Oryctolagus cuniculus: one gene and its partner. The main gene of each other region encodes a partner of the protein of the gene in region 2 in a complex. Links are inferred from orthologs where the notes say so. Each region holds a gene or a part of one and is shown on either strand. Other genes may lie near its edges. The genes, in order: TRIM28 and SMARCAD1.

Evidence for each region.
Region 1: the proteins of SMARCAD1 (region 2) and TRIM28 are in contact, whole or in part, in a crystal structure (PDB 6H3A), measured with the Homo sapiens proteins. The link is inferred for Oryctolagus cuniculus from reciprocal best matches to the Homo sapiens genes SMARCAD1 and TRIM28. Residues at the interface, in NP_001362784.1 of Homo sapiens: Asp156, Leu157, Ala160, Lys161, Gln163, Thr164, Glu167, Leu168, Phe169, Asp188, Gly189, Ala190, Ala192, Leu196, Ala201, Gly202, Gly203; in NP_005753.1 of Homo sapiens: Arg330, Trp333, Thr334, Lys337, Ile338, His341, Leu376, Lys377, Ile379, Val380, Asp381, Val383.

What each region holds. Positions count from the first base shown.
Region 1 is NC_091449.1:99,014-102,917, forward strand, and holds the start of TRIM28 (transcription intermediary factor 1-beta), read right to left. Parts: upstream 2,748-3,904; 5' UTR 2,345-2,747; coding exon 2,002-2,344; intron 1,760-2,001; coding exon 1,647-1,759; intron 1,433-1,646; coding exon 1,300-1,432; intron 186-1,299; coding exon 50-185; intron 1-49. UniProt on the Homo sapiens protein: Nuclear corepressor for KRAB domain-containing zinc finger proteins (KRAB-ZFPs).
Region 2 is NC_091439.1:71,275,870-71,279,773, reverse strand, and holds the start of SMARCAD1 (SWI/SNF-related matrix-associated actin-dependent regulator of chromatin subfamily A containing DEAD/H box 1), read left to right. Parts: upstream 1-1,174; 5' UTR 1,175-1,305; intron 1,306-1,340; exon of another isoform or gene 1,341-1,627; intron 1,628-1,929; 5' UTR 1,930-1,972; coding exon 1,973-2,162; intron 2,163-3,904. UniProt on the Homo sapiens protein: DNA helicase that possesses intrinsic ATP-dependent nucleosome-remodeling activity and is both required for DNA repair and heterochromatin organization.

The DNA of each region.
Region 1 (3,904 bases), on a different chromosome or scaffold from region 2:
TGCTGAACCTGGGGAAGGGGAGCACCCCCTACTGTGCCCTGGGACTCACTGGTGGTCCTTGTGAGCGTTGAGTTGGCAGTCCCGACAAGTCAGAGTGTCGCAGCTCTCACAGAACAGCACGAGGGGCTCATGCTTGTGCACATTGCAATAGACAGTACGCTCACCATCCCGAGACTTAGCCGGCCCTGCAGAGTAGAAACCAGGAGGCTGGACCTTGCTCTTGAGCACCTCAGGTAGCAGTCAGAGCTTGAGGCCTCACTTCCCACCTGTCCTGGGACCCTAGGCCATGTACTGGTAGCACCTCGAGAGCCCCGGGTCCTTGCTCCCAGAACCCTCTGCCCCAATCAGGCAAAGATGAAGATGTTATTCTAACTTCAAAGTGGGAATTCCATCCCCACCACTGTTCCCTCTCATGGGAACTTTTACAGACAGGCATGTTCCAGCGACACACACAAACCACCCGCCCCACTCAGCTCCCTGTCGCTAATAAACCTCAACAGGCACGTGGGTCCCTTTCCTCCCCAGAGCTAATCAAAAAGACAAGATGTCTCACATCGGAACACGGCTCAGCCAGAAATTGGCTTCCCCAACTGACATGCGCCCATTCCCTCACCCTAACCTTAGCCTAGAACCTCCGGAATCTAGAATCCCTGCAGACCCCACCCCATCCCGCCTGCTTTCTCAGGCCCTAAAGCCAGCACCTCTACGCCCCATCTTCCTGAAGTGCTATTCTCTGGGCTTGAAGGAACCTTAGTACCACCACCAAAATATTCCTCATGGGAGGGTTCTGGGCCAAAACCTTGGCCAGATTCAGGAGATTCTCAAGCTCCTTTCCATATCAAAGCCAACAGATACCCAGAAAACGTTCAGGAAGTCTAAACTGCGTATTCACAGCTAGAACATTTACAGGTCTCACCAGCACTGACAGCCCAAGGGCCCAGAGCAGCTTATCATGCTGCCCTATCCTGGAAGCCTCCCTTTTCCCAACACTCTCAAGCCAGGTGCCAGAGCCCCAAATTCATAGCACCCCTCTCCCTTACCTTTCCCTGTCTATGTACCCTGAAGTCTCCACTACTGGGACTCATGCCCCCCACTGCATTTCCCTGAGAAGTCCTCAAACCCTCTGTACAACTACAGCATGTGACTTCCCAGCCTGCGGCCTTAACTCTCCCCAGCATCCATGCTTTGGAGTCCTGGTGTTTGCAACTCAGAAAACCATCTTAAGACCTGCCCACCAAACGGAATCAGCACTACAAGCAGCTGAAAGCACACATAGGAAGGCAGCGCCGCCTCACGCACCAGTGGAGCGCACGGTGTGGTCCTTGGTGTACTTCACCCGCTGGTGTGCCTCCACGCATGTCTCACACAGTGGCTCGGAACACTCCACGCAATAGCTGGTGGCTGGGGCATTATCCTCACAGCTAGTGCAGCACTGTCAGGAAAAGGTAGGGTCAGACCAATCCAATAAAGCCTGACAGATCTGCATTTGCAACGCAGAAAATACAAACCCACGTTCATGTGGATACCTCGACCCACCCCAGAGCCTTGAGAAATGTCGAGGATAATGCCTAGAGTTGGTCCAGGCTCCTCCACGGCTCTGCCCCCTCCCCATGGCCAGAAACCTACTGGGCTGGGACAGGACGTACCTGGTTTGCATCTTGGGCGTCGGAGGCAGCCTTGCTGCCGCTATCGCGCATAAAGTAATTCTCCACGATGTCTTTGGAGAAGCACTGCTGCTTGCACACAGGACAGTCCACCACTGTTGGGAGACGGGACGTGAGACCACCGCCGGCCCACATCCAGGTTGCGCTCATCCTTCCCTCCCTGTGCGTTATTCTCTCCAAGCTAAGCCTCCGCGAAACCCACAATGGGTCTTCCACGGAGGGCCCAGAACCCATTCCTCAAGCCCTATCCGGGGCCTGGCGGTCCCCCTCATCTCCCAGAGTCGGGATAAAGGGCGGCGGGGAGGGGGAGGGGCGCCCCCAGCCACTACGTACTCACCGGCGCCGTCGCCCGCCGCGCCGCCATCTCCAGAGCTGTTGGCGGCGCCGGGCGCTGCGGGCCCGAGGCAGGCGCTGCAGGCCGAGTGCAGGCAGGGCAGCAGGCGTGGTTCCCTCTCCGGCCGCAGGCGCTCCCGGCAGACGCCGCAGTGCTCCAGCAGCTCCAGCGCCTCCCCGCCGCCCCCCGCGGGCGACGAGGCCGAGGCCGAAGCTGACGCCGAGGCCGAAGAGGCGGTGGCGCGCTTCTCGCCGCCCGCCGAACTCTCGCCCGCGCCTGGGCTGCCCGACGCGGCCGAGGCCGCCGCCGCCGAGGCCGCCGCCGCCGCCGCCGCCGAAGCCGCCATTCACACGCCGCCGGGGGCGCCCAGGGGGGAGGAGGGGCGCGGGGCCCGCCGCGCAGGCGCAGACGCGCTCGCCGCCAACGGCTGGGCCGCCGCCGCCGCGAGACCAAGCGCTGCCACGCGTCTCCTGGGCCGCTGCCCGCCGCGCGCGGGGCGATACCGAGGCACTGCGGGCTGCTGCTTCCTCGCCTTCCCGCTGCAGCACCCGCGCTTAAACCAGCCGCCGCCGCGACCCGAGCCACGCGCCACGCGAACAACCGCCTGCCCGCGCGCCCGCTCTCAGAAAGAGCCGCGGCCTGGGGGCGGGACAGAAATAACTGGCGCCGACGCCGCCGCGCACGCGCGTTCGGAGCCGCACGCCCGGGGGCGGGACCTGGCCGGTCGCCGCGGGCGAGGCCAGGAGTACGCACGCGCCCGCGCCGGGCCCTCCCACCACCGCCAACCTCACCTCGGCCGGCTAGTGAGGTGAGGGGCAGGGCTCTGTGACGTCACAGTCGAGCCCTGATTCGCCGTGGGGCGTGGCCTCGAGTCCTACAAACGTGACCCGCCCCGCCCCCCGCCCCGGACTCCGCCTCCGGAACGCCCTGGAGCCGGTGCGGGGCGACCTCCGCCTCAGTCCCCGCCCCTCTCCCGGCGTGCGGTTGTCTTCGGCCGCTGCGGCACCCGCTGACCCGGAGAGGGGACGGGGTGTGATGGAGTGGGCAGGGCCAAGGCTAGGGGAAGGCTGAGCCCGGGGAGGGGCGAAGGGGCGTCACTTGAGCAACGTGAAAGCTGCGGTTTGCGCGCGGAGCCTTACTCCGGGGTTTTTAACGTTTTATTGTTAAACTTGAGAAACAAAACTTGCTTAAATTGCAAGCTGCAAAGCCCCCAGTCCATAAAATCTCGCTTAGCCTCCCGTGTTTTGCCCTGCCGCTGCCCTGACTCCAAGCTGTCCCAGGTGGGCGAACTGAATCTGAGAAGTGCGGAATCCTCAGAGAGAGACAGGGTCTGGGAAGAATCCCGAGAGACTGGCGGGGAGCCGGCAGGAATCCTGTCTGAGGGGGGAAGCAGAATCGGGGGGGGGGGCTCCTGTCTGAGGGGGGAAGCAGAATCGGGGGAGGGATCCTGTCTGAGGGGGGAAGCAGAATCGGGGGGGGGGGCTCCTGTCTGAGGGGGGAAGCAGAATCGGGGGGGGGTCCTGTCTGAGGGGGGAAGCAGAATCGAGGGGGGGGTCCTGTCTGAGGGGGGAAGCAGAATCGGGGGAGGGATCCTGTCTGAGGGGGGAAGCAGAATCGGGGGGGGCTCCTGTCTGAGGGGGGAAGCAGAATCGAGGGGGGGGTCCTGTCTGAGGGGGGAAGCAGAATCGGGGCAGGGATTCTGAGGAGGGTCCTGTCGGAGGAGGAATCAATCCTGTCAGGTGAATCCTGTCGGGGGGGGGGGGTCCTGTCTGAGGAGGATGTGGGGGGTGTGGGGGGAGGGATCCTGAGGAGGGTCCTGTCGGAGGAGGAATCAATCCTGTCAGGTGAATCCTGTCTGGGGGGGGGGGGTCTTGTCTGAGGAGGGAAGCAGGGTGTGGGGGGAGGA
Region 2 (3,904 bases):
CTGGGCCAGACCAAAGCAAGGAGCCCGGGATTTCTTCCGGGTCTCCCATGTGGGTGGCAGGGGCCCAAGTACTTGGGCCATCTTCCACTGCTTTCCCAAGGCGTAGCATAGAGCTGGATCAGAAGTGGAGCAGCCGAGATTTGGGCCTTGCAGCCATGTGGAGGAGCCTGAAGAAGCTCCTGGCTCTTTGTCCCAGCTCCAGCCATCGCCGCCATTTTAGGGGTAAACCAGCTATGCAAAATCCCTCTGCCTCTTCCAGTCGCTCTGTAAATCTGCCTTTCAAATAAAATTAATCCTTAAAAAAAATAGATTGCCTGCTTGGCCCTAATGTTGGACAACGGGAGTGCATATTAAGGTAATGTTTCTGGCAAGATAAATGAATTGTAACATTCCACTGTAAGAACGGTCTGGCCAACAATGGGGAGCACGGTCAAACGCTTAAAGTTCAACAATACCGGACTTTCTTTTCCCTTACTAATTCCTTCACATTTGAAAGCCTCAGCTGCGGGGCGGAGCAGTGCGGCAGTAGCTTACCTGCTGCCTGGCACAAAGGACCTCTGGTTCTGGACCTGGCTCCCCCACTTTCCCTCCGGCTCCTTGCTAAGCTCCCGGGAAATCGGCCGGAAGACGGCCCCAGTGCCCTTCCACCCACTGGAGCCCCGCTGAAGCTCCTGGCTTCCGGCTTCGGCTGGGCCAAGGGGCCATTACATTAGGGAGTGAACCAACAGATGGAAGATCTCTTTCTCTGTAATTCTGCCTTACAAATAAATAAACCAATCTTTCCAAATAAATAAACCAATCTTTTAAAATTATATTAAGAAGGAAAGCCTCCATTTCCTTATTTTGTACAAATAGGTTTCTTAAAAGGATTGGAATTATTAAAACAGCACAATAGTCTTACGCTATCTATATTATAAACAGGTTATAATATGTAAAATATATGATGTAGTATGGGTATTTATCCTCACTGTGTTATTTTTATTGTTCTGTATAACACCTTTGCACCTAACTTGTAGAAACAGTTGTAGAAACAAACGGGCAGAACAATCCCACCCTTTAAAAGCAGGGGAAGAGGCTGGTACGAATTACCATGACAACGGCGCGCGCCTCGACATTTTTCGCTGGCGCGTCGCTTGGGAAGAAAAAAGCCTCGGCTGCGTATTGCGTCATCATTACGCGCTCGGTAGGGCTCTCAGGGGTGTTTTGGAAGGTCCCGCCCCGGCTACCGTCGCCTCACGCCAGGAATAATTTTTTTTTTTTTCTTTTCTTTCAGTCTTTGTTACATCGCGCAGAGCCTGCACGACCGTAAGTACTGATGGAAGGAAGAAAGAGAAGGAGCGAGAGATGCCCCAGCATACTCTCCGCTGAACCTCCCCGTGTGTTCTTGCTTCTGTCAGCTTCCTCTCAGCTGGGATCGCGCCGCGTCAACTTCCGGGCGGGTGCCCGCCAGCACGGCCTCCGCCGCTCCCCTCCTTTGGCCCCTTTGTGTCCCCGCAGTGTGGAGGCGCGGGCCCTGGCAGGTCCTTTCTCGAGGCAGGGGGCACCGTAGTGCAGGGAATCTCTGTCTGTGGGCGGGCACGCGGCCCGCTGGGGGGTTACACTGGGGAACGTGCCTGCGCGTGCCGGGGTAAGAGGAGGTTGCACGAGGGTCAGCTCGTGGTTCGAGTAAGGAGGGGCGGGAGCGGCGGGAGGGGCGGGGTGGGGGGGGCGGACGGAGGAGCGTGCAAGGCAATGGAAATTTTAAAAAGACACCACTGTCCACCTCCCGATCCTTGTGGCCTAACAATGAATCGCAGCCATAATAGTCCAGAGCCACTGGCATGTTTGCGGGCCCTGTATTGCCTTGGAAAGGAACTGCTGTGGCTTTGTAGTCTCTGTTTTCATGGCCTCTTTTTCTCTTTTTTATTTTTTTTTCCCCCCTGCGGATAGTTCATTTCAAGTCCCCGGGCCCCTCAGGGTGATTCCTGCCACTATGAATCTTTTCAACCTGGACCGTTTTCGCTTTGAGAAAAGGAGTAAAATTGAGGAAGCGCCCGAAGCAACCCCACAGCCCTCCCAGCCTGGCCCTTCTTCACCAATTTCTCTTAGTGCTGAAGAGGAGAATGCTGAAGGGGAAGTTAGCAGGGCAAACACCCCTGACTCAGATGTAACTGAGAAAACAGGTGAGTTACAATGTTGCAAATTGGTGTAGCATCAAAGAATAGGTGGTGAAAGATGAAAGGCAGGAGCCAGTCTGGTTGCTCTGATGTCACACATATTGATGCATTGTCCTCCTGATTACCCTTTAAGGCACAGCTTTGGGACTGCCTTAGTCACTGTGCCTCCAGCTGAGCTCCCAGCCATTGTTGCTTCTCTTAGATGTGAGTTCTTGGAATGTGGCCGGGTGATGGAAGTTGGAATCAAAATTCGGGTCATCCTGAGGTCAGAGTGGCTACTGGAAGAGGAATGGAGGTGATTGAACCCCGTGATTGACTTTGAGGCTGCTAATTTGGCTAGAGGTTTTCATTCATTCTAGTATTCCTTCAAAAAACCCTAGTGATCAGTATGACGAGCCAGGTGTTCATCAAGGCGTCTGAAGACAGTCTCTGCCCAGATCTGATCAGATACCATTCACATACTGCCCCCGCCTGACATCGTGGGGGTATCAAGAATGCAAGTGAATACTTGATATTCTTCGTGGTGAACGAACCATTTTAACCTCATCAGCAGATTGTCATAGACAGTTGGGATTTGAGAATAAGCCAAAAATTAAAATTTCCATTCTGATCTGTTTTTTGAACAATAGAGGAATATATTGGGGCTCTTGCTGTGTTTTTAGGCATTGTGCTAAATGCTTCATATTGAGTCACTTAATATACATAATAAACCTACTAGTTATTATTCAAAATTTGCAGAAATGACACCCAGAGATTAAGGACTTAGTACAATCTGAACTCAAATCCAAACAGTCTGATTGCTGACCACAAATGCTTAATTGTTACAGTATGCAGTTTCTCATGAAAGGTGAAAGGGATATTAGAAGTTTTATTTTAATGCTCATTTCAGTAACACCTTTTTGGGTGAGCATGGCTTTTTTTCACACGCGGCTTTTAAATTATTGTGGCCTGTAGAATTGGAAATGTGTGCCTTCATCATTGATATCTTTTGTTGGCTGCTCTGCCATGTAAATGAAACGGTTGTGGCCGATTCTCTACAAGTTCTTGGTGGGATGATTTGGTCGATCGGGTTAAGAAGTGACTAGAAGTCAAATTTCCAAAGACTAAGGAGTTGGCTAAGGAGTTCTGAGCTTGTTTAAATACTATAGGTCAGGCTGTCATGGCGGCACAGCAGGCCCACTTGCGTCGCATGGAGGAATATCTCCCATGTGGAGGCCAACATGGAGTTCTGGGCTCCTGGCTTTTGCCTGGCCCAGCCCTGGTGGTTGGAAGCATTTGGGAAATGAACCAGCCGATGGTAGACCTCTCTTTGTTCCTTTCAATAAATAAATAAACTTTAAAATGTTATAGGAAGCGTATTAAAGGATTTTAAGCACAGACGTGACAGAGCAGGGAAGGCAAGGGTATAGGCAAGCCTCTGCTTCATCTTAATTCAGCATGGGACATCAGAAAAGACACTTAAAATGTGAAACAGTTTTTTTAATCTCTGAAAATGAAAGCACTTTGTAAAACTGGATTTCAGTGGAATGTTTTAGTCATTTACCAGTATTGGTAAAATGAAAATTTTACCTCTTATTTTAAGATGTATTTATTTATTTGAAAGTCAGAGTTACACAGAGAGAGAAGGAGGGGCAGAGAGAGAGAGAGAGAGGTCTTCTATCCTCTGGTTCACTCCCCAATTGGCTGCAATGGCTGGAGCTGCACCTATCTAAAACCAGGAGCCAGAAGCTTCTTCTGGGTCTCCCACA